4 linked regions of the Lonchura striata genome follow. The protein of the gene in region 4 purifies or fractionates together with the protein of the main gene of each other region. This does not show direct contact. Links are inferred from orthologs where the notes say so. Each region holds a gene or a part of one and is shown on either strand. Other genes may lie near its edges.

Region 1 (7,367 bases), on a different chromosome or scaffold from region 4:
CCGTCATGCCTGTGCCAACCCTGATGTGCCCATGGCATCCCACAGGGCACCGAGGCTGTGCTGACATTCCCACCGGCTTTTCTCTCCCCAGGAAAATTCAGGATGCTCACAAAGGAGCAGGAAATGCCTCTTGTGGCCACCTGTCCCTGTCACCAGGCCACGGGTGATGCTCCTGGGCTGTGCCAGAGCTGTCCCTTCCAGAATGGGAAGGGAGAGACCCTAAAATGCTGGTTTTTTCATCCCATTCCACGCGGCGGGCGCCTGAGCGAGGACATCAGTGCCTCCCTTTTCCCGTGCCAATTTTAAAAACCCATTTTTACAGCTGAGCTGATGCTCAGCACCACCAGCAGCAGTGGCCGTGTCCCAGCGGGGTCACCGCAGCCCGGGCTCCGCTCTGGCTTTTTCCATCCCCCGGGGCAAGGCACGGGAGCAGGAGGCGATTCCGGCGGAAGGAATTTGGGGTGAGAAGCGGCACCCGCGGGGCTCAGAGGGATGCGGGAGGACCTTGTCCCGACGGAGGCGTTAATGAGGAATGAGGGAGCAGCCATGCCCCGCGAGGAGATGGAAATGAGGGCAGGGGATGGATGGGCACAGCCCGGGGCAGCGGCTGCACCCTGGCACGGCTGGCAGCAGCTCGAGCCTGATACCAATCCGTGGTATTGATGATTCCGAAATTGCAAAAATTCTCTGTCTTTCAGCCCCGCTGCCAAAGCAGAAGCCATAATTGGTCTGTGCTGGTTTCCAGGTTGTTTATTCTGTTGATCTCTCACATGTTCTGCTGCCCTGCCCAGCTCTGTCCTGCAGGGCAGCGTGTGGGGCTCTGCCCTCAGTGGGATGTGACAAACATTCAATACCAGAAACTCCCTGGGCTGGATTTACAAGAACGTGCCAATATCTGTCACCTACGTTGGACAGTGTGTCCCCAGCCTGAACCAACAGAAAAATGCCAACACCACAGTGAGACATGGAGGGCATGAAGAAGGAGAAAAAGGACAAGGCACACCCAATTTCCTCCAGCTTGTCCCCTTTGGACCCCTCATCTAGAATCCTAAAATTTTACTTTTGCACCCGTGCCACACTTAATTATTACTGCTATCAAACACACAGAGCTGGTAATTGATCCTGTAAGATTGAAAACTCTTTTCCATGGACAGAGATCACAGCCAGTGTCTCTGGGGGCTCTGTCCAGGGGGGTTCTGACCCCTGCCAGGGTCCCAGGGCAGCCAGAGGGAAGCTCTGGATTCCCACAGCAGTTTGGGTTTTTTATTCTGGGTTTCGCTTCCCAGGGATTCCCCATTTCACCCGGGGATGTGGCAGAGTCTCTGCCTCCCCTCCCCTGTGCCTGGGTCTCGTGGGAGCTGAGTTTTTGTGGGAGCTGCTGTCCCCAGGATTCTCTGTCATCATCCTGGCCCCGCGGGTGGAAATGATTTACCCAGCTGGGGACCCCGCACGCTGCTGGTCTGGAGCTTTTTGGGGCCCTTCATGAAGTGTTGGGGTGCTTTGGGGAGCTCCTGGAATTTCTAGGGCTGGGACAACCTTCCTCTTCACCTTCCTCCTGTGCTTCCCTCACCCCTCTGTCCCCGCAGTGTAACCGATCCTCTCCCCCTCTCTCCCTGTCATTACTTGGACAATGCTCCATTACTCTGTGCAGAAATATTTTTCAAACTGGTTCTGCTGCCACACGAGGAGGGGAGAGATGAAAAATGAAAAATGGGATTTTTTTTTTAATTTTTTTTTTTTTTTGGGAGGCTAATGACTCGGAAGTCAGAGCTGGCAGCAGAAAGTCAACCCAAACAGCCTAATTGGGGATTAGAATCTCCTCAGTGCAGCTCAGCTCAGCTCAACAAAGCCCAGGGAGCAGTGACACGCTCAACCTTCATCCTGGAAAAGAATCACCTCCCTGGCACCACAGAGAGGCCCAGAGGTGCCGGGAAATTTCAGCCCAACTCCTTCCAGTGCTCCTTTCAATCTTCAGTTTGGGTTCAGATGGGTGAAGGAGGGAAAATGTGAGGCAGAGACACAAAAGCCCAGCAAATCCCAGCCTTTCCTCAGGCATCACCCTGGATTTGGAGCCAAATTCCCATCCCTGCTCACTGCTGCTATTGGGAAGCAGCTCAGGTTTGCTCAGCCCACAAGATAGAAGAGCCAGTGCCCGAATCCCACGGGAGATGCTGATGTGCTGGGAAGCCTGAGAGATGGAGAAGCTTCTTGCTTTAGAAATCTTCCAGCCATTTCCAGCAGCTGGCAAACTCCTCCGGGCGTGCGGCCAGGCCCTGGGAGCGTTGGGAAGGATGTGGCTGCAAGAGAGGCAGCAGGAAACGCAGGGAGCCGAAGCCCTGGGAGCCAGGAGCGTGGAAATGCAGCAGAAACCACCTGAGTTCTGCTTGGGATCCTTCCCTTGGCTTTGCCACGCGTCCTGCCGCCGGCCTGCTGCTCTTCCAGCTCAGTCCCTGTGTCCTGTTGTCCCCTCTCGGCTGGATCACAGAATCGTGGAATGGTTCATGTTGGAAGGGAGCTTAAAAGTCATCTTGTTCCAATGCCCTGCCATGGGGACACCTCCACTGGGAGCTGGGATCCCACTGGGGGCTGGAATCATCCCACCGGGAGCTGGGATCCCACTGGGGGCTGGAATCCCACTGGGAGCTGGAATCATCCCACCAGGAGCTGGAATCCCACTGGGAGCTGGAACCCCACTGGGAGCTGGAATCCCACTGGGAGCTGGGATCCCACTGGGAGCTGGAATCCCACTGGGAACTGGAATCCCACTGGGAACTGGAATGCCACTGGGAGCTGGGATCCCACTGGGAGCTGGAATCCCATTGAGAACTGGAATCCCGCTGGGAACTGGAATCCCACTGGGAACTGTCCCAGGCTGCTCCAAGCCCCGTCCAGCCTGGATTTGGGCACTTCCAGGGATCCAGGGGCAGCCCTGGCTGCTCTGGGCACCCTGTGCCAGGGCCCTCACCCTCGCAGGGAAGGATTTCTTCCTGAAACCTAATCTCGATCAGATTGGAGCGGTCATGCTCCCGAGCTTGTACCGGGTGGTGAAATCCTTTCCCAGGCAGCTCCTGCTGCTCTGCCGGCCTCAGGCAGAGCCCGGAGAGCCTCTCCAGGGGGCTGAATTCCCCTTCCCGCGGTGCCATTCCGTTTTCAGGAGCTGATTGATCACTCGCAGCGAGCAGCAGCGTGGCACAGCTCAGGTGTGGCCGAGTCGGAGCAGCGTGTGACACAGGGCGAGTGTCACCCCCGGGGCCAGCAGGTGAGGAACCGGGGGAGCTGCGGGGTGGGAGGGCAAGGGCAGGACACGGCTGCGAGTCCGGCTTCTCTCCCGGGACCGGGACCGGGACCGGGGCCAGCCCCGCCGGGATGAGCCGGACGCCGCCCCGGGGATGACGCTGCTGGAATTCCGCGCTCCGCTCCCGCTCGGGTGCTTCCCGCTTTTCCTGCGCCTGTCTCCCGCTGGTGCTCAGCACCTCGGGGCCCAGAGGGTCCCAGAGGGTCGCAGAGGGTCCCAAGGGCGCCCCGCTGTCCCCGCACCGCCCCCTCCCCGCGCGGAGAGCGAGGGGACAAAGCCGGGACCCACCGGGGAACGGGAAGAACACCTCGGGCGGCTCCGGGGGTGACCCCGCTGGCAGCAAGGGGAGGGTCCCCGGTCCCCACGCCCCCGGGGCCACCTGCGGGCTCGGGGGGGCGGGCGCCGGTGCGGGCGGAGCTCCCGCAGCCCCGGCCCCGCCCCGCACAGAAACTTTCCGTCGGCGCCGGGCGCTCGGCGGGAGCCCGGAGCGGGGCCGGGGCTGCGGCCGGAGCCGAGCCGAGCCGAGCCGGGCGGGCCCGGCCCTATGGGCAGCGGCTGCCGGCGGTGCGGGGCGCTGCGGGGCGCTGCCCGCCGCGGCCATGTCCGCCGGGGCTGCACCTGCGGCGGGCGGCGAGCGGGAGCCGGAGCGGGGCGGCGGCGGCGGCGGCTCGGAGGGCGCTCCCGGGGCTCCCCCCCGGCGGAAGAAGGGCCGGGCGAACTCGCTGCGCCGGGCGATCAGCTGGCTCCGGGGCCGGCGGCGGCAGCCCAAGGACGGCAGCGGCTCGGGAGGGACGGAGGGAGCAGGTGAGGAGCGGGCGGGGTGGTGGCCACGGTGGCACTTAAGGAGGGGGCACGGTGGTGGCCACAGAGGAGGTGGGCGAGGAGATTTTCAGGGAGCTGCTCAAAGAGGTGGCGAGGTGGTTTTTCAGCCCCAAAAATCCTGTCCCACCCTTAGCCACGGTGGTGGCTAAGGAGGGGTCACAGCGGTGGCCACGGTGGCCTTGGTGTGGTGGCAAAGCGTTGAGTGGTGGCTGTGGGAGTGGGCAGGGAGGTGCTGGGGTGGTGTTCTCAATGGTGGCCAAGGCAGTGGGCAAGGAGGGACAAGGTGGTGGCTGTGGAGGGCTCAGGGTGGCGGCAGCGGCCAAGGAGGAGTCACAGCGGTGGCCATGGAGGTGGTGAAGGAGAGGTCAAGGTGGTGGCTGAGGAGGTGTCACAGTGGAAGCCAAGGAGGGTCAGGCTGCTGGCCCTGGAGGTGGCCAAAGAGGGGTCACCGTGGTGGCTGAACAGGAGTTGAGGTGGTGGCCGTGGACGTGGCTGAAGAGGGCGCACAGGAGGGGCAGGGGTGCTGGCCATGGTGGTGGCCAGGTGGGGTGGAGCTGCTGGCCATGGTGGCAGCAGGGGCAGGAGGTGGCAGCGGTGGTGGCAGTGGCCACGGGGGCCGTGGTGGCCGTGGTGGCAGCAGGGGGAGGAGATGGCAGCAGTGGTGGCAGTGACCACGGGGGCTGTGGTGGCTGTGGTGGCAGCAGGGGGAGGAGGTGGCAGCGGTGGTGGCAGTGACGACAGGGGCCATGGTGGCCGTGGTGGCAGCAGGATGGATCCGGCAGTCCCTGGCACAATCTCACCCAGCCCCGAGGGCTGGTGCTGGTTCACTGGGTAGGTTCTCCTGCGCTGAGTCAGAAGGTCACTGGGGCTGAGGGAATTCTGGAGGGATGCCAGCCGCTGCCACCTCCTCCTCCTCCTCCTCCTCCTCCTCCTCCTGGGCAGGGTGTTTGCGTGCTCCAGGTGTGGCCCTTCCTGGCCCAGATACGGTCTCAGCCCGGCCCGCTCGTGCCTGCTGCCTGCACGGCCCGGTCATGTCCCTGCCACCCTGACCAGGACAATCCTGCAGGGGCAGCTGCCCTGGGTCCCCTCTCTTGGCCACCCTGGAGCCCTGTTTTGGGGATCCAAGGGCTCAGCCAGCGAGCTTTGGCAGAGCCATGGCTGCTGGCTTGTCTGGTCACGCTCCTCTCCTCAGCGCTTTTTTGGCAGTAGCAGATGTCCCAACAGGGAAGGTTTCACCCCAAAAGCCTGTCCCACCCCAAAAGCCTGTCCCACCCCACGCTGCTGGGGACAGTGTCTGTGTCACAGCCCTGCCCTCCCTGAGGGCACCTCTGGCAGGGATGTTTTGGCTCTTTTGCCAAGGGAGAGGCCTCTCCCGTGGCACCCGAGCGTAGCAGGACGCTGCCAGCTGGGACTTTTTTCCTCACTTTGCTCCAGGGAGTGAATTTCCAGGCACGCAAGGCTGCGTGCTGCCTGGAGAAGCACACGGGGATCTGTGATAGGACAGGAGTGGCCGTGGGAAGGGAAAAGAAGCTTGGGAAGAGCTGAGCTTTCTCCTGGGCCGATCCATCGGATGCTGCTGGTGGTTCCTCCGTGTGTGGACACCGCTGCCACAGCCCAGCACTGAAACCTGAGCAGAAAAAACGAGATGTGCCGGAGCATGTGATGTTCCTCTTGGCAGCAGAAACGCCCCCAGCAGCTCTGCCAGCCCGTTTTTTCCTTTTTTTTTTTTTTTTTTCCCTGAAGTTGTACCGTTCACCAGCTAAACCCTCAAAATGCCAAGTCACGGCCTGTCAGGGTCACAGCTTGGGGACCTCTCTGTGGCAGCTGTGCCAGCCAGGGCTCTGTCACAGCACTGCCACCCTGCTGTCCCATCGGGAGAGCTTTCATTGCATGGAGGAGCCCTTCAGTGCCCCAGCCCGGGGGACTCTTCCCCTGTGGGCTGCATCCCAAATTCTTCTCCGCGGTGTTGGGGGAGAAGCAGCGCGGATGTGCCGCGCTTGCAGCTTGCCTGCGTGCCTGAATCACCCTCCCCGTGCAGCTCCGGCCCGCAGAGCACGCCAGGAACCCCTCCCTGCTCCAGCGGCCCCGGCACCCATCCCCGCGGGATGGGGACAACGTTTCCCTGCAGGGTGGGGGGGTCAGATGCCTCTGGATGCTGTGGGAAGGAAGGAGCGTTCGCCCCGGGTGTTCTCCAGGCTCGGAGCCGGCGGAATCGCCGTGCCACACGCGGCTCTGACCCGGCCGGAGGCTGCGCTGGCCCCACGAGCATCCGTGCAGCGGGACCAGCTGGGAATTCTTCCAGCCCTTCGTCTCCAGCATCCTGTCCCTCTGCTGCTTTTGCAACCTTCAAGTCTTTAGGGTGTCTGGGAGCCCCTAAAGACAACCAACCTGCTCCCCAAATCCTTGTCTCGGCACAGGATCCACGCCCTGGGACACGCCAGGGGACCCTGAGCACTCCGGGCAGGGGAAGAGCACAATAATATTGACGGTGCTGGGAGCACTGGGAGGGGGAGTGGGGAGAGCTGCGGCAGGCTCTGCGTGCCCTCAGCTTTCCCTGGGTCCCAGTGGTGCTGGGGGATTTGGACCAGGCAGTTCCTCATCCCCCTGGGCGTGGATTGCTCATGGATTTGGGACAGGGTTGTCTGAGCGTCCCGGCGGTGGGGAGGGGGAGTAGGATGGCTCCAAGGGGTGGGAAAGACAGAATTCATCGCAGGGCACCGAATCGGGGCTCATTCCTGAGCATCTGCCTGCCCGGCATTGCTCAGCACTGAAATCACGGCGCAGGGAGGATGAGAGCATTTCCCCTTCGGACCAATCCCCCGGGGCCCGTGGCTATCAGCGATGCCATCTCTGGCTGCCCAAAGAGCTGAGCTGTGAGGAAAGGTTCCCTAATCTCTTTTTGGGAGGGCAGGGGGAAGTGTCTGCCTGGATCTGGGGCAGGCTCCAGCCTCTCTGCTTCTTCCTGGGAGAGAAACACAAGAGCTGAACCCGGGGGTTTGATCCAGGGGGCTGCAGAGGGGTCAGAGGAGGATGTCCATCCCGTGTTTTGGGGTGGTGGGAGGAAGCCTCATCCCAGCCTGGAGATGCCCCTGGCTGAGCAGAGGAGAACTGCTGTCCCACAGTCCCTGGGCAGAGATCTCTGACCTGCTGCCCGTGTGGCCGTGGCCTTGTTTCATCCCCGCTGCCCCGAGGCTGTCCTGTGAACGGGGCACAGCCGGGAGTGGAAAACAGGGAATTTTTTCCCACCCCT
Region 2 (7,906 bases), on a different chromosome or scaffold from region 4:
TTAATAATTTGTATGCTGGCTTTTAAGAGCTTTATCTCTGATAAATTAACTTTTCAAGAAAATCTTAAATAGCCACTGTCACTGGCTCTGATGATGGCAGTGTCAGCAGAGTTCTCAGTGTGGGCAACAGTGCAAAATACGACTCCCCAGTAGCAATGCAACAAGCACAACCTCATTAACAGGAACAGCAGTGATATTCCAGAGGAGAAAGTTGACATATCTGTTCATAATTACAGGGGTTACCTGAAGGTTGAGAGGGAACACCAGCATATTTTCAGCGAGTGAAGCTGCAATCTGGGTCAAGTCAATGAGCTGTGTCACAAAACACACCATCGTAGTGGGCAGCAACCACTCCCCACCCTGTGAGTGCAGCCCTCAGGGCTTGCACACCATTTCCCATTCTGCTGGGGAAAATCATTTACCTTTCCCCACTACCTACAACCCACTCTTCGGGCTTTCCTCAGTGTCCCCACTCGTCTGGAATTCCTGCCAACTGTGTGTTGTTCAGGCTGCCTCTGGCCCCTTTTGTCCCAGTGTGCAGGTGGGAGAGGTTGTCACAATCATTTATACATTCTCCTCTCCTCTCCTCTCCTCTCCTCTCCTCTCCTCTCCTCTCCTCTCCTCTCCTCTCCTCTCCTCTCCTCTCCTCTCCTCTCCTCCCCTCCCCTCCCCTCCCCTCCCCTCCCCTCCCCTCCCCTCTCACCCTCATGAAAAATTTCACTCTGATCACATGTACAGAGCAAAAGCTTAAGGTATCCTAAATACAAGGAGAGAATATTCAGGTCAATATTGGTTTCTTTTTCCCAATACAAGTGCAAAACGCAATGGGGTGAAATAAACGGCATGTGGATTTTGCAAATCTCGTACCTATTGTTAAGCAGGATTCCTATTCATGAAATGGAATTCACAAACAACTCAGAGTTGAAACAGCTCACTAACTGTGGCTTTTCAAGACAGATCCTTTTTACAAGGGTAAACTCAGCTTGATTTCACATAACTGAAGTTTTTTCCTTTGTTTTCAACTATGATTTTCCAGAATATAAACAAGTATCTACTGATTTGTCAATTTATTAAGCATCCAATGCTACTTCCTTTATTTTCCACTACCTTCCCAACAGCTTCCATCTTACTATGGTGTCTTTTGAGTCATTCATGTGAAAAAAGAAATCCCAGCCACCATTATTGCAGTTGTCTCCCAATAACTGTAAAAATATCTCTGTTCATCTTAATAAATAAGTTATTTAAATCAAAATGGAAAAATTAAAAAAAAAAACAAAAACAAATCAGGTTTAACACTACCTACTCTGAACAGCAGGACTGCTGGGGTCAATAACGCACTAAGCCAGTTACACTTCTGGCTTACCAACAAGATTCAATGAACAAAATTAGATGTAACACTGTTTAGCATGTCTACAGCAAGAAACATTTAGACTTACAAATTTCCCTCACATTAGGTATGTTAAGCAAAAATAGAAATAAGAAAATTATAATCCACATTTTTGTATAACATCTTAATTCCAAAATGCATATAACATAAAAAACACAGAATACACAAAGACTAAAATTTCTGATGAAAAAACTCTCTATGGTCTATTAAAAATTAAAATACACCCTTAAGAATTTCCAGATGTTAGATGTGAATTAATTGGTGTTTAGGCTTGGTTTTCGTTATAATTCTACTTCTTAGTATCTTGAAACTAAAACTTTTGTTACAGGTATGATGACCCAATCTTTTAATGACCTGTTTTATTTTAAAGTTACAAACCAGTAAATAACCAGAAACCAGATAGAATAGAATTGTATTCTTCAAATCCAAACCCTAAAGGCACAAAATACTAATTATCAATTTCTTTCCTTCTATATAGCACTAAATTACAGTGAAGACTTATAAAATAAATCTTGTGAATTGTTCCCAGAAAAGATGAGAATCATTATACCCCAACCAGCAAAAATTGCAATGATATTTTACAATAAATTAAAAAAAAATAAATTAAACAAGTGTATCCATGTATTAATGGAGAAATATTTAAGTCATATGGAACCACATGTCACTTCATTGTTAAGATATTAATCAAGAAAAAATAGTGACTTCGTGATCTTGTATTTCTATTAAGCTTTCTGAAGAAGTTAATTTAAAAATAAAGAGCAGATGTACAATATATTTGCATAACATACATGTACAGACACATATGGCTACCTCGAAATAGAAGTATTTTAAATTGTCATATGTAAAATTAGAAAAAGAGCTGCAAAATTTCTGGTCAGCATTACTAAATATTATTCAGAAGTCTGCACTCATTAATTTTCTCCTAGTGAGCTCCTGTCAGGTCATTTGATTAATAACAATTTTGGAAGTATCCAGGGTTCTAATTTAGGTACAGCCAAGAATGCTTAAATTAATTTTTGATTACAAGTTTTTCTCTTTTCCCCAAAGGCTAAAAATGTATTAATGCATAACATAGTATGGAACTTGAAATTGCTTTTTGAGACCTATGTTTTATCTGATGACATTTTTTCTCTCTGCATTAATCTAGTCTTCCTGTTAACAGTTTCTAGGTATAGTTTATAACACAAAAGCCCTAAGATGGATTGCAACAAAAGATCTTTATTATAGACTTGACAGAGACAGATAACTAATCCAGTATTAATTTAAAATCAGAACCTTAGTACCAGAACTAAAGGTACCTTCTCTGTGGTTTGAACATGCTACCTTTGAAAATTTTCTACAATTTTCCTTGAAAATAAATATTCCATACATAAACAGTTACCTCTGTTACATAGTCCTTTGCCAATCCAGGACAAGACCTATTACAAACACTCGTAAATTTTAAACAATCTTACAAAATCTACCAAATGCACATAAAAATCTATGCCAATACACAACAACGTGCTTTTGAACGGACAATATTTTGTGGCAGCAAATGATAAATATTTAAAGGAATGGTACCTGAAGTGCCTGGCTGCCAAGCCAAGCAGCCTGGTGGGTACCGGGGGGATGAGGTGTTGCAGCCTGGCCACGGCGCTCCAGGGCTGCGCTCCCATCGGCACGGGCCGGACAACTTGCACAGCTCCCCACTCGCAGGGAGCCCCAGGCTGGGGCTCTGCTATCGCAGCCAGCACCTCCCACGCTGCCCCTTCCACACAGGCTGGCTCTTGCACCCAGGCATTAGAATTCAGCACACAGTGCCCTGCCCTAACAACAGGGCTGTCCTTACAAAGGAAACACAGGCATGCTCCCAAACTGCCCTTTTTCTCCAGACACAAGTAGAGAACCCCCTGAAGGCAAGTGATTAGGAAATAATTGTTCCTTTGGTACCAAGCTACAACGGGTAAATATTAAATTATGATGTGCCAAAAATGAAAGAAACGAGTTGCTGTGCATTGATGAGGAAAGGAAGGAAGGGGAATACAAGAGTCTGGGCATTGTGTTGCTATTACTGATGAATCTGAGAAAGGAATTGCATATTAATCAAATAATAAATGATGTTGGGAATCTACAGTAGTAATTAGGCCAATGTGCAGAAGGCTGTGACTAAGAAACATCACACAATGAAGGCGCTACTTAGGAAGTTCCTGTATTTAATTCAGCAGTGCTACACACTATATTAACTAGTACTCCCTTATTAAACTTAGTTACAGGTGTCAACAATGACTATTGGCAGCTTTTCATGCCTCAAAACATTAGAGATTTGAAGAAGTGGTGTTAGCACTGCAAGAGCCACGAAGGAGTCGTGTATTTAAGAATGAAACCTTCCCTGCACTTTATGCTACGACACCAAGTGCCTAAATGCATTTTATGCTTAGATACCTAACACACAAATGACAGATTATTTGGTTTGATTTTCTTTTTCACAGTTTTAAAGAAAGAATTAAGATATACCAGCTACCAAGTGGGATGTAAAAATGTGTAATAATCATCTTATTACTACTAGCTGAGCTTCTCTGTAGATTAATTTCCCCCTCTTGTGAACAATGAAATTCCTGAGAAGAGGATTTGTTGCAAAAAATGTCAATGCAGAAAAACATATTTCCCTGTCTACTGCCGTTTACGTTACTTAACGTTTGAAGAGCCATGCTGCAGAAAAAAGGTATTAACATCTACAGAGAAATTGTTTGCTTTTGAACTGAAATATTATTAAATATTTCACAGCCCAAAAACACTGATGATGATTTAATAATGATTTTCATTATTATAATATATAAAATATAAAAAACCGACTATTTCAATAATGATTTATACTGTGGCAGGCTAGATCATTACATAATTCACCTGGTGTAACAACAAAAGTTATTACACCAGATGAAGTGAGTTAAAGACTTGCTAAGCTAAAGACTAGAGCACTCAGATGTGCCTGTTTTCAGATGTGCCTGTTTTCTACACAGTAGGTAGTGTCATTTGGGACAATAAGTTTTCCATTCAAATATCATCATTTGAAATAAGGTATTTCCAGTAATTTCTTGGGTAACCTCTTACAACCAGCTACACACCACACATGAAAATGTGTCCATTCCCCCTCTTTCTCTGAGCTTTGTTTCCCTATACTTTCAGATTACATACATTAATTATTATTTCTCATTGTTTGTAACATTTAGGTATTTAGAGATGCCACACACTTTCTGTGCTATGAATTCTACTAAGTCATAAATTTCTGTTCTTACTTAGCAGAAAAAAAATAAAATTGAAGGATCCAGATGAGGACCATGAGGTGGATCACAGGGCTGGAGCACCTCTCCTGTGGAGACAGGCTGAGAGTTGGGTTGCTCACTCTGGAGGGAGAGCTCCAAGGAGATCCTACAACACTTTCCAGTACCTAAAGGTGGCTGCAAGAGAGCTGGAGAGGGACTTTCTACAAGGGCACGTAGTGATAGAAGAAGGGAGGATGGCTTTAAATTGAAAGAGGTATAATTAAATAGATATTTAATGTTTAGATTAGACATTAGGAAGAAATTCTTCACTGTGAGGGTGGTGAGGCACTGGGACAGGTTGCCCAGAGAAGCTATGGATGCCCTATCCCTGTAAGTCTTCAAGAGCAGGTTGGATGTGGCTCCAAGAAACATGGCCTAGGGGAAGGTCTGAAACTAGGCTATCTTTAGAGGTCTTCTCCGGTACAAATCATCTTATGTTCTGCGAATACTTTTAATTATGACATCATTTGTTGCTATTGCCTACTCTAAATTTGCAACTGCATAAATTCAATCTTGCAAATTCTTTTTTCACCGAATTAAGTTTCTTGTTTGGATGTCCTTTGCAGGTCTGAGCTCCAGACTCAAACTCCTGGTCCTTTAAGTAGCTATTCTGGAATGAAATGAGATTCTTTACAGGATGACATTTAGAACTTGCAACAGGAAGTTTTTTCCTATTAGCCTGATTTATATGACTTCCAGTAGATAAATACATTTTTACACAAAATCAAGGAAACTAGTCATGTGAATATTTATTAAGAAGAAATGTGAGCTATTTTCCCTTCTGTCATAACACCGATGAAATATTATATAAAAAAATCAGTATACATTCAGAAAATTTTTGTAGCAAGTAGGGATTACATGCATGAAGGTTTTTAAATGTGCTGTATTTTAATAAATTAATTTTAATATTCCATTGTTTCTGCAAGCCAAAATTTAAACACTTTAAAATATCTCATAAGGAAAAACTCATTTGCTAGACAAAATTAGATTTCTTTGTAATTCTGTAAGAAGCATTTAAAGTCCTCATATTTACATAAGTATTTTCCCCTAAACTTAAATGCTCAAGTTAATTATAGCCAGCATTTATTTTCACTGTCCATGCCTGAGTTTGAGCAATATTCTTAATATGAAATGAATAAATATTGGTGAGAAAACTAATTTTTTTGTGAAGATTAGAACTAATTAAAGCTAGTCCTCTCAAGGCGTTTGTGTCATGGTTGATTGTGAGCTTTAACTAAAGCTATTCCATAATTGGGATATCGGTAGAATGCCTTCCCTCTCTGGTTTCCTCTGGCTATTTACATGTAAACTAACACTGTTACCTTTCCATTGCCCGTAATATTTGCAAAGACATGCATTTTAACAATATGTACAGGAGCTCAACAACGTTTCAAATATTTTATTCCTATGACCTTTCTCTTAAATTTGACAGTCATTTAAAAATATTGAGATGAAACAGGAATCAGAAAAACAGACAAAGAATGACTGCATTCACCTTCTTTTCTTGACTCCAAGTTTGGAAACTTGATTAAAAAAAAATTTAAGTTGGTTTTGTGCTATGCATCAATCATTATTTAAAGCTAGCTTAAATAACTGAAGGCACAAACATGAAAGAAGAACATTTTGAAATACACACATCTTTGTACTTTATGCTTGGAAATACAAAATACATGCAAATGAAAACTACAGTCTGCAAACTGGAGATGCCATTTCAGTTTCAAGCAGAGAGAAATTAGGCCCATTTGGAAGCTTTTCAAGGGAACTTCACTGGGTCAGGAGAGTGTGTTCAATTGTGCACTCACCTTACATCAGAACTTCTTAATAGAGAGACAGTAAAGGTCCACCTTCATGGTTTATGGCATCAACAGGATTAAGTCACTATGAGCAAAAAACCTGCAGGTACATATTTATCAAAGAAAAGAAGGTGTTCTCAATCTGGAGGGAAAACACCCTCAGGCCCATTACACGTGACAATCATAGCACCTTCTATCATAGGGGAAACACTGACTTAACACAGATCCCTGTTGGCTCCTCTGAGGTAGTCAAGAGACCACATAGAGGAAAAGAAGGTAAATCTGTTAATTCTTTATATAATACAGCAAAAAGATTAGCCCAGCCAGCCACAAGGAAGGGCAGATCTAATAAGGGAGTTAATAAAGTTAGCTCTTTCTCTCTTAACAAATATTTAGCAGAAAGTAGATAGTGAGAGAATAGGGATGTAAAATGAGATTATCTTTAGCTGTCTCTACAGGGAGCTCTGAAAAGATAGCTTGGAATTTTTAGACTTTGAACTAGTACATATAATTATGAAGTAATAAAGATGCCTCAAAGGTAGATAATGTAAGAACTCAATAATTTTAGTAATTCCTTTTGCAATTAAGATATGCTAACTGTAAAAATTCAGAGAATTTAGGACACAGTATTAGACCAGAACTGTATAAAATACTACTTATCAAATATTGGTGTCATCAAAATACTGGTTTCAAGCATAGGAAAAGATAGGAAATGGACGTGTCTGTGAAGGCACCAACAGTTGCTTCAGCTTCCAACTGCTCTGACGACAGCAGCTGGAAATCATCATAGCCAGCTCAATGCTGGAGTTTCCACAGAATGCCCAGAAATCACAAGTGCCTAAAAAGAGCCAACCATTTCACTCACTTTTTTTAGCTTTTTTTAAACCAAGGACATACAGCACAAGCCGGAAATCAAAATGGCCTCAATGGGCATCAGGTTAACCCTATCTACCCTCTTTGAAGCACAGGCACCAAAGGTCCGATGATTCTTGCTTCCTGAACAACAGCCTGATGTTTGAAGAACTCCCTCGAGAAATGGAAAGACTGACTAAAGGATACACACAAGATTAAGAGGAATGAATTCATGCCTCCCTTACTGCAGTAATCAAAAGCATTAGGCCACAGAACACTTTAGTGTGAAGGCACTTGAAACAAAGCAAGCAAACAAGGGGAAGTCAAATCTTTTGCAGAAACTGGGATATTAGCTGCAAGTGGCAGAACTTAGATCCCGGAGCTTAATCCCAGAAAATAATTATGCACTTAAAACATACATATTATACACACACACACACACACACACACACACACACACATATATATATATGTGTGTGTGTGTGTCTGTGTGTGTGTGTATACATATATATAGTCATTGGATAAAACCATTACATATATAGTCATTAGATAAAACCAGTTTCAGAATTATTGAA
Region 3 (8,379 bases), on a different chromosome or scaffold from region 4:
TGTTAAGACCATAAATTTCAAATTTCAGCCAACTACTGAAATTTAAGTACAAACCAATCAGTTTCTGACACAAAACAGAGTTTCCATGAATGGGTGTATCAGCAATAGCTACTTTAGGCAAGATATTAACATTTCATTACCTGCAAAGAAAAAGGTGCTCAGTTCTAGACAAAACTGCAAAGCAATCCAGCAGCACAGAGAACACATGCTCTGTTCCTTCAACCACTCCTTGCACAAACAATTTTAAACGAGGACTGGATCAGTAAGAATATATGCTTTTTTTTAAACTAGGCCAACACATCATATTTTTCATAAAATCTCCTAACTGACATACCTAATGAACAGTATGACAATTTAGCATACAGCTATTATAGCAATACAGAATGAGAATTTTTTTTAAATGGATGCAGAATTGTTGAATGGATGTTTTAATTAGTTCTAGAATATTAGGTATACTGAGATAGCAAAAAACATTTACGTGATTATATACCTTTTCATCATCCTCTTGTACAGCATGCTATGCTAAGATCTCATTTGAATACAACAGTTTCATTTACTGGTCATTTTTTTTTTTAATATCTATTTCAGAATTCCTTTATGATTATAAGACACAAACATACCTAATTCTTCTCCTGTATTATAGTCATATTTATAGAGTTTAAAATCTTCACCACCTGCAACCAAACATTCTTTCGCAGGGTGAAGAGATGCAGAATTGATTGTAGCAGGTGCTTCAAATGATTTAATCTGCTCTAGACTGAGGGAGAAAAGTTTGTTAATGAAGCTAATACAACAAAAAAAAAAAAAAAACTGAGAGCAAAGAAACTGTGATTCTACTAATCTCAACTGCTTTTCCCAGAAATAAAATACAACCCCACAGAGTTTTTGAAACAAGTTTTGATACTTGCAAATCATGCTTGTCAAGTTAGAAATGAGTTTAGAATAAGCAAAACAAAAGATCACACATACAGAACTACTTTCTGGAATATGTTTAAGCAGATAACTTCCTTTCTTGAAACATCACTGAGATGCCAGTCTTGACAACTTGGTGACTCTGGCCTTGTACAGCCAGTTTTTACCCACAAGAATCCCATTACTCCACCTGTGAAAACTGGAAGTTGTGGACTCACGTTTCTGCACTATGAAAAGCAATAGTCTTCCCATAGGTTATCACCAGTATCTGTCCTTCTGGAACATACTCCATGCTGCTCACTGACATTGCCACATTTAGTGACTTCACCTCAGTCATGGTACTCCGGTCCCAGAGGCTTAAAATAAAACAAAAAGGGAAAAAAAAGACTCTCAGACTTCTGCAAATCAAACAATTTCCACCTCATATCCATGGCAAGACCTGCATCAAAACAGGCACCCATCAAGGAATGTGGTTTGATTCCACAGGTACTTCAGCTCTTCAGTGGCTTTACCTGCATCCTCACCTGGGCCACTTTTTAAAATACTTATACCTTTGCAGCTTAATGCCACAACATTAAATGGTATAAACACACCATTTAACTACTCAGTGATTCTCCTGGAGATTAAAAATATTGATTTAAGTCTTCTAAGCAATGCTTGAAGATTCTACTCTCTTTTTACTTCAAAAGACAAAGAGATACTAATCCAAATTTACAGAGGTTCACTGAGGATAATATAGTTTTATATCTAGCAGTGCAAGAAGCATCTAAACAGAAATTAAGCTGTGCTGCTGTGACAAATAAAAATCTTTATTCATTAGCTGACTGCTGCATTTCTATTCCTACAATTTGGAGGAAAACAAACAGGAATAGGCTCTTGCCTATCTTTAACACCAGGAAACTGAAGAAGACAAAGCATCAATATCTCAGGACAGTGTGTATGCAAGAGACCTCATCTATAAATTCATCTTCTTCAGGATTACAAAAGGCATACATTTATTCTATGCAGTTATCAAAGACTACCTCTTCTTATCAGGGAGAACACATCTAGGAGGAGCACACATTTATGGGGAAATTAGAACTAAATGATCTCTAACAGCAGAACAGAGCTGTATCAGGCATGCAGCTACAATAATCTAGGATCAGGTAACGTGTGTTACTCATCCTTCACCAAAATAACATGACTTCATCCCCACACAGAGCATGACAATACAGAAAACTCAAAGTTACTTTTTCTTACCGGACAGTTTTATCATCAGCTGAAAGAATCTGTTTGTCATCACTGCTCCATAAGGCCTTTTTAATGCCAGAAGTATGTCCACTGACAACATCAGGTTCTTAAAAGAAAGCCAAATATTTTAATACATGTAATAAGATTAAATAACGCCATGCAGCAGTTGGGGGCTTCCTTAAGCTACACTGATTTCCATCTACTAGACACTGTAGAATTACTTCAAGCACTTATGATTTTACTTGCAGATCTTATTCCAGGAACAGGATAAATGCAAACTGAGTACCTGATTGCCTGCCTAGCTTTCAAAAACTTCACTAGGTGAACATCAATTTTCTCTGGCTTCCTAACAACCATCAATAGGTTAGCATCAACACAAATTTAAACACACTTAAATATGTGGAGTCATTTTTTCTCTCCGATGACTAAATTTTAATTAATTAGATCAATTTAAATGTGTCTGCACTGAACTAAAACACGCTCTGCTTGATGTCTCATTCCTGGAAGTGTGCAAGACCAGGCTGGATGGGGCTTTAATCAACCAGCATCCAGAGAAGAGAGTTTGGAACCAGGTGATCTCCAACCCAAGCAATTCTGGGACCCTTATATACCAAAACCTTATAGACATTACATTTGTAAACCAATCCTCAACATTGTTCTTAGCAGAAAGTAGCTCCTTAATTTCAGAACTTTTATTTAACTCAATAAAGCCCTCAAGAGTCAGTTTTAAAAGCAGACTCACCTGCTTCTGGCTTGCTCAAGTCATAGATACGCAAGAGCTTATCTTGTCCACCTGTTAACAGGTAATTGCTATCCTGAAACAGAAGTTATAGAGAGTCAACTCTACTTTGAATCAAAATACAGCCTTTGTCTGTGATTTAAAATCACAGCTTTTTCTCTCAGACAGCCTCTAAGACACTTGCTACATTAACCCTACAATCCTAAAAATGAGCAGCAGTATTTTAGATTATTTCGCTGTTAAGATTTACAACAAAAAAGTAATTAATAACAAAACATGCTCAAGAGCTTATTTCCCTGGTGAATAAGGTATAAAGGTTCCTCATACCTGTGTAAAATCCACACTTTTGACAATGTGTTTGTGAGCAAGTGTGATTAGTTCATCGCCTGACACAGCATCCCACACTTTGCTAAACAGCAAGAGGAAATATTCATATTTTAGAAACATCAGGACAAAATCAACCTGGACAGTCACATGAATTTGTAAGCAATCTTTCCTGACACCATCACAATATTTTATCCTAAAATATTACATTCTTTTAAGTTGCAACCTAGTTAGTCAATAAGAGTATTTTAAATATTTTTACTAGAGCTTTTTTTGGTACTATCCCACCACTTTCCGTTATGCTCTTCTTCAGAACCCTGCAAACTTATTAACATTTTAGTTTGAAGACAAAGGTGGCTCTTCTCTGCAAGTTCATTAATAGAATTTACCCTGTACTAACAAGATTCAACTTGCAAAATATTCCTTAATACTGCAAAATACAGCACAAACAACAAAAAACATTGAAGGACTAATTCACTAGAAGTTTAATGTAATAAAAAGAGGCTAACTGCTAGATGAAAAATAAAAATCCCCCTCTCAACTCTGCTATAACTACAGTGCCACAGATTAGAGATTCACAGAAAAGTTAAGTAAAAGTAAACCAGTATGATAATTCAGCACATCAAGAAGCAATCACAGTTGTTCATCATGACACAATTAACTGTAGCTACTTTCAAGAATGTACAAATTTAGGTTTTAATTGACTAACCAAAGAGAAACAAATGAACCAGTAATTTAGTACAGCTAAGTTGCCACCAAAGAGCTACAGAATAAAAACCAAAATACAGCCCGTGAAGACAGTCCATCACTTACGCTGTGAAATCTGCTGCTGCTGTAGCTGCTTTCGTGGCATCCGTGTTCAGGGTGGCACCCCACACAGCACCTTTATGACCCAGAAATGTGCCAATCCAGTCTCCCGTGTCCCCCTGACGCAGCATAGGCTTGCCATCTTCATAGAAACAAAACCAGTATTCAGGTAACGTGGCAAAAGAAGGAAGCAGTTTTTCAAAACTAAAAATACTCCCTTGCATCAGCATGTGGAAATGCCCCATACTTTACAAAGCCACTCTTTGCAGAGGGGTTCAGCTGTAGAGTTTAGATGTGCAGTCGTACTTGCTGCATGCATCTAAACTGTGCCACTATTCAAATGCTACTGCATGTGGAATTAAGAGCTTCCTGGTAAAACTCTAACTTTTTCTTAAGATAGAAGGAAAGTAGAAATGTTTAATTCAAGTTTTATTTTTACTAAAGTTTTCTTCAGGCAGGGCAGATTTGGTTTGGTCTTTTATTTTTACACTGGAACAATATTATCAAGTCATCAGTATGTAGAAACAAGTGTCATGGTTGCAATGAGATATGATTAAAACATACATTGATACATGAATGAAGTACTAATAGAAAGCCTTTCCTATCATCAGTTTTTTTCTACAAGGCTATCAAAGAGTTGTTCACACAAGACGTAAAGCCGACCTGGAAGCACTTCAAGGCAGAAAAGGAATGCCCTTTAAAACTTATGCATGTCAAAGATTAAAATATACATGCACGAAAATGAAATGCTATTCCCACAGTGAGCAAAGAGCTCTCATCATGCCGTGTCCAGCAGCTGCCCTGGTCAAACCGGAGCTCGCTTCAAATCCGCAGCCCGTGTGCACAGCGGGTAGAAGGAGAAGTTTTACAACCGAACTGTTCTGGAGCACTCCCACCCCGCAACAGCCGGGATCCCAGCCGGGATGCCAGCCGGGATCCCAGCCGGGATGCCAGCCGGGATGCCAGCCGGGCGCATGCGGGCTCCCACACCCCGGCTAGCCCGGCAATGAAGCGCCAGCACAGAACACCGGCTATCCGCTCCCTTCGTCATTCCACAGCTCGCTGAGGCGCTGCCACCACCCTGAGCGGCCAGGACACCCCTCCCGCCCCACCGCCACCCGTGGGGACGGCGATGCGCGACCTCCGAGCGGCGGGGCTCCCCCACGCCCACCTCCGGGGCGGGGGATCCCGGACAAAGCGGCCCGTCCCGCTCACCCTTGCAGGCGCTGATGAGGAAATATCCGTAGGGGGTGACGCCGCTGAAGGCCAGGTCCACCACGGGCCGCGTGTGGCCGGAGCAGGTGAGCGGGGTCTGCCTCATGGCCATGGCGGCGGCGGGGGCCTGGGCAGGGCACGAGTGCGGCGGCCCGGCGGGAGCGGCGGCGGCGGCGGGGGAAGTGACGGGCAGGAAGCGCTTCCCGCCGGACGCGCGTCACGCCCGGGGGCGCGGCCGCCGCGGCACCGCCCCGACGGGGGGACGGGTCTGCGCTGCCCCGCTCGTCCCCTCCGTGAGGGAGCGGTGGGGTCCTTTCTGTCCCGGCAGTCCCTCATCCCCTCCGTGAGGGAGCGGCTGGGTTATCAGCGTCCCGGCCATCCCTCATTCCCTCTGTGAGGGAGCGGCTAGGTTATCAGCGTCCCGGCCACCCCTCATCCCCTCTGTGAGGGAAGAGCGGGCTCGTCCTCGTCCCGGCCATCCCTCATCCCGCTCCATGAGGGAATTAGCGAGCTCCTCGTTGTCCCCTTCAGCCACCACCCCGGTTCCTGAGGAAGCAGCGGGCTCGTCCCCGTCCCGTTTATCCCTCATCCCGCTCCCTGAGGGAGCAGCGGCGACATCCCATTCCCATTCAGCCACCATCCCTCTCCATGAGGGAACAGCGAGCTCTTCGCTGTCCCGTTCATCCCTCATCCTGCTCCCTGAGGGAACAGCGGGGTCCTCGCCGTCCTTTGCATCCCTCATCCCGCTCCATGAGGGAGTTAGCTAGCTCCTCTCTATCCCGTTCAGCCACCATCCCGCTCCTTGAGGGAGCAGCGAGCTCTTCGTCTCGTTAATCCCCTCATCCCGCTCCTTCAGAGAGCAGCGGCCACATTCCCGTCCCGTTCATCCACCATCCCGCTTCCCGAGGGAATAGCGACCTCATCACCTCCCGTTCGTCCTGTCAGGAAGATTAATCCACATACGCCACAGGTTTATGTCCAAAGAGGAGACAGAGGAGTCCTGTAACTTTATTCGAATAAAGGGAGAGGTCATGGGCGTTTCCCATGAGGTCTCTCAAACTGTTAGAGGACGCAGCCTCCTTTTTATCCTAATTTCCAGGCTGTATTTCCCTCTCTCTTCCCCCATTTTCTGAGGTACTTGAGAAGTACAGACTTCCCAAATCTCTTAATACAAACCCCTTTCTAATATGTAGGCCCCCCTTTTCTTTTTACCTTGTGTTCTTTTTCTCTAAATCCAGAGGTTTAGCTCAGGCTTGAGTGAGTAACTGTCGATTAGTGAAATTTATGTTTCCCCCCCCGCATTGCTTCTTTCACCTCTCAGTATCTGGCCTTGTCTACCATCAGGCCCACAGTTTGTTGGTAAAGACATCTTGTTCCTTCCACAGATTTCGCAGAATGACCAGGTTGGAAGAGATCTTAAAGATATCAAATCCAACCCAGCCCCAATACCTCAACTAAACCATGGCACCAAGTGCCACATCCAATCTGTTTTTAAACACATCCAGTGACGGTGACTCCACCACCTCCCTGGGCAGGCCATTCCAGAACTTTATCTCTCTTTATGTGAAAAACTTTTTCCAAATATCCAACCTGTATTTCCCTTGGTGCAGCTTGAGACTGTGTCCTCTGGTTCTGTCAGTGCTGCTTGGAGAAAGAGACCAACCCCACTTGACTACAACCACCTTTCAGGGAGTTGTAGAGAGCAATAATGTCACCCCTGAGTCTCCTTGTCTCCAGGCTGAACACCCCCAGCTCCCTCAATTATTCCTCACAGGGTTTGTGTTCCCAGCCCCTCTCCAGCCTTGTTGCCTCCTCTCAACGTCCTTCCCAAAGTAAGGGGCCAGAACTGGACTCAGCACTTGAGGTATGCCCTTACCAGTGCCAGGTACAGGGGCAGAATGACCTCCCTGCTCCTGCTGGCCACACCATTCCTGATCCAGGCCAGGATGCCCCTGGCCTTCTTGGTCACCAGGGGCATGCTGCTGGCTCATGTCCAGCTGGCTGTCAAACAGTATCCCCTGGTCCCTTCCTGCCTGGGCACTGTCCAGCCACACTGTCCCCAGCCTATAACGCTGCAGGAGGTTATTGTGGCCAAAATGCAGGACTGGGCACTTGGATTTAGTAAACTTAATCCTCTGCCTGTCCATTCAACTGTTCCAAATCTCTCTGCAGAGCCCTCCTACCTTCCAACAGACTGACACACTATCCCAGTTTAGTGTCATATGCAAATTAACTAATGAAAGATTCCATCCCCTCATCCATGTAATCAATAAATATATTGAACAGAACTGGCCCCTCATCCCACTTCCCAAAGGAAAAGCAACCTCATTACTGTCCAGTTCATCCCCTCCTCCTGTTCCCTAAGGGAACAGCGACCTCCTTGCCATTCCATCCCTCCACAGGTGGCCATGGTCCCTCAGTGCCCTGCTGGCTCCTAAACCAGCAGCGACTCCTGCCAAAATCCTGCCTTTTCTGCAGGCCCAGCTCCCCTCATGGCTCACTGATCACCAGAAAGGTGATGGGAAAGCCTTGAAGGATGAGGGGATTTCAGGGAAAAATAGCAGCACCCGCCTGGTTGGGCATTTTTATGTTGAAGACAAGCTGATGGTGCTGTCTGGACTTGCCCTCAGAAGCTTCTAAGGATGACTTGTTTGCTCTTACTCAAAGATGAGTGGAGTGATGTTTCTCTTAACCTAGAATCAGAATGATTAGTAGTTAATCACCTCCTTTTTCTCTTAAGCCTTACAACTAGAAAAGGTATTTAAATCATTAACTGAAAAATGAAGCTGGAGCTAACTGCAGACTTTCACAGCTTTTTTTATTTAAAAGATAGGCACGGTGTTTCACATTCTTCTGGTATTTTATTTCTCACCCCAGGTTTCTCAGAAGTAGCTCCTAAAGATTTTGTAACTTCATGACTCATTTTCAGGCATACTGACACTGTATCACAGATCAACAGTTTTTCCATTCAGAGCCACAGGTTGCCAGGTGGACCTTTCCCGTGTCTTTAAGATTTTCTGGATTTTTTCCATACAAAATTTAATTGCTTCTACATTTACATCTTACAAAGTCTTATCTAACCGTAGGGCTGTGACTTCCTGATAGAAATGCTGTTTGGGTTTATATTTTTAAAAACTCTCCTGGTGACTGAT
Region 4 (8,279 bases):
TGAAGAGGAGAGAGTTTTATGAAAAATGAGGTTGAGACAGAAGGCAAATCCTGCAAGTGAAAATATATTAGAGGAGAAAGGTCATGTCAAAATACAGTGAAACTATTTATTTTTTGCCACTCTTATCTTGTGCATTCTTGAAGCTGCAATTTTCAGTCTTATTACTTCTGTGCTCCCCAGCAGCTCAGGCTGCCTAGCAATGCCTGGCTGTGCTGGCTGTGCTGCACAGAGCTCGTGGCTGCCTAGCAACTGCCAGGGGTCTGTGTTGGGGTCTCTGACCAGCTCAGGGATGCAGTCCTGCCCCAAACACCCCTGCTTCCCTGGCAAGCCAGGAAGCAGCATCTGCAGCTGTTAACAGCTGTGATGAAAACCTTAAAAATATTAATTGGGAAAAAGGGCACACGGAGGTGACCACAAAAGCGCAGAGTGCATGACAAATTGTCTCCAAAATGCAGAAACAACCCCATTCATCTCTGCAATACTCAGACAACCTGTGATGATAACTGAAATATCAATATGGGTAATTATTCTGGTTCTTAAATAAGGCTCTGTGCTAAAGCAAAGGAAAACAACCCAATGCAGCTAAGCACCTTCTTGGGCAGTTATTAAACAGGCGAAGGAAATATCAAAACAGCAAATTTTGGTACCAAGAAAAGAAAACATTGAAGAATATTAAGTATTCATAAAAGCTTGTCCTAGTACAGCCATACTTGTGTAACTATCATTGCAATCAACAAAAATTTTATTACAAGAAAATGAGACTTGGCATTTGGCAGCAGAGCTGATGTGGCTGATCTGAACAGCCCTGTGTCTTCTGTGCCTCCAGCTGCCCTCTCAGATCCCTCATCTCCCTTTCCATTGCACTGTCAGAAGTGCTTGTGCAGCTAAACCACCGAATCAGGAATTAATCCAGCAGAGAAATGGTCCAACAAAAAATAAAGGGTTATTTTCCAATCAACACTACTGAAGCAAGTACTGTTCGTTCCCAAGGGAAAAACAAAGACACATGCCAATCTATGGCCAAGGAAAGGGAACAGACAGTTACAGAGCTACACAAATTACAGTGCAGGAGAAGTTGCTGTGATACTGCTACTTTGCTGCTGTTCTAAACAGCACTTAGAATATAGTCACATTTTTCTTTCCAAGCCAAAAATGGCCTATTGTCCCAGAAAGATAGGATTGCCCCTGGAGATCTCATGCCCCACTGAGGAGGAGAAAATCTCAACGTAAAGTTGAGACATTGAGAGATATATAAGCACATTTTACTCTAGATAGGATCTCATTTGGGTGATTGTTTAGGTGGAGATTGATGGACATAATTACATGTTTTCCTCTGCCAGTCCAGCAGCCCAAGCCAGGAAAATTTTAATTCCCAGCTCTTTTGTACACTTGAAGTATCTTGTAAGTTAGGTAATTTATTTTTCTTATCAGCAGTTTATACCTGGTGCAATGAGAAAATGTCACAGAGTAAAAAAGCCCAAACTCAACAAAATAAACCAAAATGAAAAGAACAACAAAATAAAATATTTTCTGAAAAGAAACCCCAGTGAATGCAGTTTAGATGCACATTACTATCTTCAGCAAATGTCAGCTCAAGCCCAAACTTTATTGATTGTGGCTCAGCACTGGTTCTGCTAGATTTGCACTCTTTTAGGTGCTTTAGAATCACTTGGTGCACACCATGCAGACTCATGGAACCAGCTTCAATCTACTGCACCTGAGTCAATGCACCAACCAAGAGCCTCAGACATGAGGAACACCCTGCAAAGACACTCAAGGGATCCTGCAGAGAGTTATTTAGAAAGAAGGAGGACTAGCATGGGACAAAAGCTAATAAGGCCTGCTGATCTTATCAGTTGGGCATATCCACACCAAAATTCCCAGTGCATCTTACACAGTGTGGCCCTCACAGCAGCACTGCCATGCTTGTATGGCACCCAGATGACAGGTCCTGCAGGAGTGGACCTGGTTTGGTTGTTTATCTACCCAAAGTCTAACCCGCAGGCATGGGGACAATGCCTGGCCGCGCCATGGCAGCTGCAGAAGAGCCTCATAGCTGTCACAAGGTGGCAACATTCGATGTGCTCCTCCGAGGTCTTCTTGAGTTGTGAGAACATTTTGCATTTTTGCTCTGCTGGAGCCGCTGCTCTGCTGTGCCAGGTGGATGCATCCCCGGAGAGCCCGCAGTGCCTGCTCAGTGCCTGTCCTGCCAGGACAAGCTTGCTCACGGGAGTGAAGCACAATACATTTAGCAAAACACGTGCCACTCATTTTGCTCATACTGAAAAAAGTTGATGGGCAAGGCCCCACACATCTGTCATTTCTTTTAGAGGGGCAGCTGTAACATTTTATGAAGAGCCAACAACAATTGTGCTACATTTGAGGATGTTAACAGCTTCCATGAAGTCAGTCTGTGATCTGTAGGCAATTAAAGATTCATTCAAGCCAATGGGTGTTAAGCAATTTGCAGCTAAAGTGAATAGAGAAATTGAATTAGTCTTTATTAATATATACAATAAGTCAATACTGGAAACAAGGAGAAGCCAGTGCCCAAGAGTAGTGATGCCTTGTGAAGGTTCACCTAGAACAGAGACTAACTAGATGGAGTTAAAGAATAAAGTAGGTATTTATTAGAAGACCTCAATGGATACATCTAGGGCAGTACAAGAGCCCAGCAACAGCTACACCCAAGGTGAACCCAAAATGGTCACAAAATGACAGGTCACAGGGTCTCAAACTTTTTTAAGTTCTGGTCCATTAGCATATTGAAGTTAATTGTCCAGTTACAGCTTTAGCTTATGAAGTCCCATCCTTCTTGTTTTTCTCTCTTCAGTCCACATTATTTATGCTCTTGGGCCTGAAGTTTGGATCATTTGTCCTTGGTCCCCAGCTAGAGAAGAAATTGTTTTGTCAACCTACACTGTGAAGAGAGCTTACTATCCCCTAATATGAAGCTCAGAAATGCACACTAAAGCAGCACATAATCTGAAAAATATAAAAGCTAAAACCTGAGGCATCAGGGGTTCTGGTCACACTTGCCCCAGGACACATTTAAAGCTTGCCAATATCTCAATACAAACAAACTGAATTAGCTTACATTAAAAGGAATCCAAAATAAAGTGTTTTATTGGACATACATGCTGCCCAAAAGAGAGCTATTAAAACCCCTTTGGAAACAATTTTGCTAAGCTGCCAAGTAAATTAACCATCAGAAGAGAGCAATGTAGATGCATTTCTATCCCACAGCAAGTGCTGCAAGTGTACCAGCTCCTTCTGCTCCTCAAAGAGCTCTCAAATACTTTTCTTGGTACCTGCCTGTCTGTTCCCAGACAGGAGTGTATTTTGTAACTCCAGTTGCAAAGAGTTTCCCAGTCCTGATGGTCCTTTCCAGGGTCCTTACCTTTCATCCTTGCTTCTACAGTTCTGGGCTGAGATACTGGACTTTGCTGACCACAGAGGTGAAGGGAGAGCTATTTTTTACCCTTGATTTAGAGAGAGCAATAAATACACCAAAGTATCCTGACCAGAACAGTGATTCACACAGGAGACAGACTACAGAGAACATGTAGAATGTCACATGATTTTGCAGAAATGAGGCAGTCTCCTCTTACTATAATGTGAGCTTGAGACTGCATTTTTCTGAAACATGCTGACTTTTTACCACTGTGTGCATTTCTCTAGGACAACCATTAAAAAACACAAGGACTAACTGTGTTTGTGTTTGTGACTGCGGACACACAACACATGGCAAGAACAGTGGAACCTTGGAAATGGCTTTTTCTGGGCCTGTTACTCATTGCAAGAGCAGGCATGGACATCTCAGCAGAGCAGTCACCTGCTGCTACTGGCTTCTCTCCTGGCACGATTGCAGAATCAGGATTTGGCTTACAAAAAAGACATGCAAAAAAGATTGTACTAAGTTATCACTGGACTTTTGTCTTCCATACTTTTGCTGACAGCCAGATGAGGCCTTGAACAATGATTAACAACTGAGGTAAATGAGTGGCAGGAATACTGTATTTATCTCAGCCAAATATTTAAGCTCTTCTTAAGAACCTAAATTCAGGAAATCACTGTTAGTAGTTATACTGGGCAGGCCCTGACTAAAATCTGCGTAACTTGGATTCAGTATTTCTCCCTCCCCCTCAGGGGGTAACTCCCTTGAAAGGACTAGTTGCCCCAAACCATGATCATTCTAACATCTTACCAGTCTTCTGTTATCTTTGGAATGGCCTGTCCAGGGAGGTAGTGGAGTCACTGTCCCTGGAGGTATTTAAGGAAACCCTGGACATTACATTTCGGGCTGTGGTCTAGTTGACATGGTGGTGCTCAGTCATGGGTTGGACTCGATGAACTCAGAGACCTTTTCCAACCTAATTGATTCTGCGATCTTCCATATTTTTAGCCTGCCAGATGGCCAGATAACCAGAGCAGTGCTTCCCTCCCAGACCCTTTCAGCCTCTCCTGCAGAACCGCTGCCTCTGGGCAGCACTGTGGGGCTGGGGCTTTTCTGAGCGAGGCGGGGGATGTACATCACTGTCTCCCCTCGTCTCTGGGGGAGACAGGACAGGAGCCGGGGGAGCAGGGCAGCCCAGCAGCCGGGGGAGCAGGCCAGCCCAGCAGCCAGCCAGGCCGGAGCACTCCGGGCCCCACCATGTCCCTCCGGCCCGCGGGCGGTGCCCACGAGCGGCGGCCGCCCCGCGCATGCGACCGGCCCTGCCTACAACTCCCGGCTGCCTTCGCACAGCGAGGGCGGGCTTTTCCTCTTTTTTCTTGGTTTGGTTTTTTTTTTTTTTTTTCTTTTTTTTTCCCCTCCCCTCGGAGGGGGAAGGATGGGTGGGGAAAGCGAGCGTTCACGAAAGCGAGGCGAGGAGGAATCCCACAATACCAGGCGGGTTGCGAGCCCGGCGCTGTCGCTGTCTCTTTAATGCAAGAGGAAGCGATGCGGAGGGGTGGAAAATGGCAGAGTTGCAGATGTTGCTAGAGGAGGAAATCCCTTCTGGCAAGCGGGCTCTGCTCGAGAGCTACCAGAACCTCACTCGAGTCGCCGACTACTGCGAAAACAACTACATCCAGGTAAGGGCGGCGGGGCAGCGCACCGGGGGCCGGCGGCGGGGCTCGGCTCTCCGTGCGGCGGCGGGGCCGGAGCCGCCCGAGGGGCAGCGGCGCCTGGCTGCCCTCGCCGCGGCTCCCGCCCCGCGGCCGGTCCCTCGGCTTTGCCTTTTCTTTCAACTTTCCCAGCTGAACGGCCAGGCTTCCCTTCCCCCGCTCCAGAGGGGAAGGGAGGGGGTTATTATGTCAGTCCGGCTCCGAGGGTGTGTCTTTTTTTTTTTTTTTCCTTTTTTTTTCCTTCCCCCCCTGTATTTATTTATCATGAGTCACATCCCGGAGACCTCCCAGGGGTGGGGGTGACCGAGGCGCGAGGGCCCCCGAGCCCTTCCGTGCGGCCGGCTCCGACCCGGTATCCCGGGTTTCCCCCCGGCTTCCCGGCGGCGGGGCTCCCTGCGGGGCCCGCGGACGGGCCTCGGGGCGGCGGCGGTGGCCGGGGCGGGTGCGCCGCACGTGGGGCGCGGGTGCCGGGCGGCCCCGCGCCGCGCTCCGCGGGGAGCGGAGGGCCCCGCGCGGGTGACATCACGGGCTCGGGGGTCCGCGCCGGCTCCTCCTGGGCGTGCGGGTCCCGGCGGGGCCGAGGCGGGCGCGGTGCTGCGGGGCCGCAGCGCTGCCGTGAGCGGCGTGCGGGGGCAGGCGGCTGCCCGTGGGCTGGCAGCGCCGTGCGGGCGTGAGGCGGTGTTTCAAAATGGCAATCTGTGCCTCTCGCAGCCCGCCCGGCTCTAGCACCTACAACAGGGATTGCAGACCGAGTCTCTCGTGCGGGAAGAGGCTCCTTTGGTTCCAGCGTTTCTCCACCGGCGGTGGGTTTTTTTTTTCCATCCCATAGATTGCCAATGCTTCTTGGACTTCTTTTAAGTCTGATTTTTCTGAAGCTACTTTAAGCACAATTTCCTATTATTATTTTTTTCAGGATTTACATCACGTGACTCTAAGTCTCAGTCTTTAGTCATACTGATCTGGATGCAGAACCATCCAGAGATGCTGAAACTCAGCTTTTTTTTTCTGTAAAAAATTTGAAGGGGAAAGGCAAATAAACTTTATTAACTAGACAGCTTGTAGAGTGAACTTGTTGAATGTAATACTAGATTACCTGTGATAAGTATTTAATATAGGTTACCAACATCTTTGGTATCCATTATTGCTGGTAAGCTGTCTTACTGTTTTTAGTTACGGAGCAGCAAATATGGAAGCACATCTTTAATAATACAAAGTGATTTTTTAATGAGATCTTTTAATTAAAACTGCTCTAACAAGCCATATTTTCAAGTTTTTTTTTTTTTTGTTTGGGTTTGTGTTTTTTGGTTTTTTTTTTTTTTTGGTATATGAGGTAGTATGAGTTAATGTCTATTTATGCTTCCGAGTTGTTTGCTCCACCCAGAGAAAGCTGCTGATATAAATGCTTCTAAGAGGCGAGGTTCATTTGGTTTTACTCATGGGAAATATGACAAATACATGAGTATGGTAATTGCAGCACAAGTTTTGACGTGTCTCTTGCTCCTGACTTTTCCCTATGTCAGAAAGGTGCAGAGAATCTTCAGCTACATCGTTTTCTTCACAGTCATAAAATTTGTCTTTTCTTACTTTCATCAAGCAAACCAAATAAACACAACACTTGAGCAAATTCCCATCCAGTCATTTGGGGTGGCTTTTCCTTTTCCTCTTTTTTTCTTTTTTTAATTTTTTTTTTTTTAATTTGGTAGCTCATTTTCACCTCAGGTATCAAGGTCAGCTAGATGTGGGATTGATGGGGTCTCTTTTATCTTTGTACAGCTGTGTACAAAGATAAAAGAAGGAAGGAAGCCGGAATTCTAAAAGTCTAACGCAGTCTTGTACAGTAGCTTTGGAAAATGTATATACCCCACTTGTATTTTACATGTATTGTACATTTGCTTAGTAAAAATGTATTGATAAAATTATGTATTTTTTTGTGTTTGATGGAGGTGGGTTTTTTAATCAGCACTTGCTGCAAAACCATCTGCTGTCCAGTTGGACTACTGAACAGATTATACTGCCAGTGCATGTGGTGGATACTGCTGGATTAGGCAGTATGACACAGGGCACTGGGTTATGAGATTTGGGTGTAGGAGTATGGTGGGATGGGAAGGGAGAAAAGGAAAGGAAGAGGCTTAACAAACATATAATACAAAATCTATGTGTTTGTTTAATGTGATTGAGCATTTTATAAAAAAGACAGACCAGAATAAAGAACCTGGCCATGAAGTGAATGTTGAAATACTTCACTAGTAGCTCCATTTCTTATCTGGTTGTATGTAGCTGGTTCAGTTCAGCCACTTTGAATTTGGAGTGGTTTATTTTTTTCTGTGGAAAAAGTGAAGTGCTTCATAGTGGTAAACATTACTGTGTGCTGTTACCCACTCTGAGTTGTGCCACTGAGGTGAAACAGGTTTGTCAGACTGTTCTGAGTGCTGGCACTAACAATTTATTGTGATTGAAATAGGACAATGAATTATGTTCTCTGTGTTATGGTTTATATTCTTTGCTGACTTAAGCAGGAAAGTAATTTCTTGCCACTGATATTGCTATATTCAAGCTATATATATGTATTTATTTGAAAATACAGAAATTTTGTTTTGTCTTTCTTAAGCTGAGAATAATTCTGGTAAAATTTCAGCCGTGCTGATTTCTTAAGGAAAACTTGTATTCAATGTCTCTTGAGATTCCTTAGGGTGGAAAAAAAAAAAAAAAAAAGAGCGACAAATGGGGGAAACACTCACCTGTCTGGAACTTACCTCCCTGATGGTGAATGTAGCTGTGTGGAGAGCAAGTATCCTTTTACTGGAGCATTTAGGAAAGATGACAGCATTTGGGAATCTCAAGTTGAAAATTGCTGTGCTCAGAAAAGCAGGAAGCAGTTTCTTGCTGAGGCACACTGTGACTATATCAGAATGCTGTCTGGTAAAGCAGTTTGCCCTCCAGATCATGTGTATTCTAGTTATCTAGGAAGTTTATTTGTTAGAAAGAGGAAAGAATTCAGGAGAAGCAGAGCAAATAAGCTTCTAAGGAAGACCTGCAGTGCTAAAAAGAAAATACAGTATAGTGGCAGTCTTAAGGGGGATGGGAGAAAAAGGGAGACAGAAAAAATAAAACCAAATATAGAAATAGTAACTGATGAACATTGTGATGTTTTGGTGGTGGTTTTGGCTTTG

Evidence for each region.
Region 1: the proteins of ABI1 (region 4) and NHSL3 purify together in Homo sapiens (affinity purification with mass spectrometry; 3 studies listed by BioGRID and IntAct, with this or other methods). This does not show direct contact. The link is inferred for Lonchura striata from reciprocal best matches to the Homo sapiens genes ABI1 and NHSL3.
Region 2: the proteins of ABI1 (region 4) and WASF1 purify together in Homo sapiens (affinity purification with mass spectrometry; 6 studies listed by BioGRID and IntAct, with this or other methods). This does not show direct contact. The link is inferred for Lonchura striata from reciprocal best matches to the Homo sapiens genes ABI1 and WASF1.
Region 3: the proteins of ABI1 (region 4) and EPS8 purify together in Homo sapiens (affinity purification with western blotting; 4 studies listed by BioGRID, with this or other methods). This does not show direct contact. The link is inferred for Lonchura striata from reciprocal best matches to the Homo sapiens genes ABI1 and EPS8.

What each region holds. Positions count from the first base shown.
Region 1 is NC_134628.1:906,756-914,122, reverse strand, and holds the start of NHSL3 (NHS-like protein 3), read left to right. Parts: upstream 1-3,894; coding exon 3,895-4,099; intron 4,100-7,367. UniProt on the Homo sapiens protein: Able to directly activate the TNF-NFkappaB signaling pathway.
Region 2 is NC_134605.1:69,128,599-69,136,504, reverse strand, and holds the start of WASF1 (actin-binding protein WASF1), read right to left. Parts: upstream 3,044-7,906; 5' UTR 3,043-3,043; coding exon 2,948-3,042; intron 1-2,947.
Region 3 is NC_134607.1:9,511,449-9,519,827, forward strand, and holds the start of EPS8 (epidermal growth factor receptor kinase substrate 8), read left to right. Parts: upstream 1-5,199; 5' UTR 5,200-5,227; coding exon of another isoform or gene 5,228-5,339; exon of another isoform or gene 5,340-5,390; intron 5,391-8,379. Other genes in the region: STRAP (serine-threonine kinase receptor-associated protein), read right to left, coding at 621-757, 1,131-1,268, 2,152-2,248, 2,885-2,957, 3,209-3,290, 4,019-4,154, 5,228-5,339. UniProt on the Homo sapiens protein: Signaling adapter that controls various cellular protrusions by regulating actin cytoskeleton dynamics and architecture. Depending on its association with other signal transducers, can regulate different processes.
Region 4 is NC_134603.1:140,617,072-140,625,350, reverse strand, and holds the start of ABI1 (abl interactor 1), read left to right. Parts: upstream 1-4,843; 5' UTR 4,844-4,959; coding exon 4,960-5,076; intron 5,077-8,279. UniProt on the Homo sapiens protein: May act in negative regulation of cell growth and transformation by interacting with nonreceptor tyrosine kinases ABL1 and/or ABL2. May play a role in regulation of EGF-induced Erk pathway activation. Involved in cytoskeletal reorganization and EGFR signaling.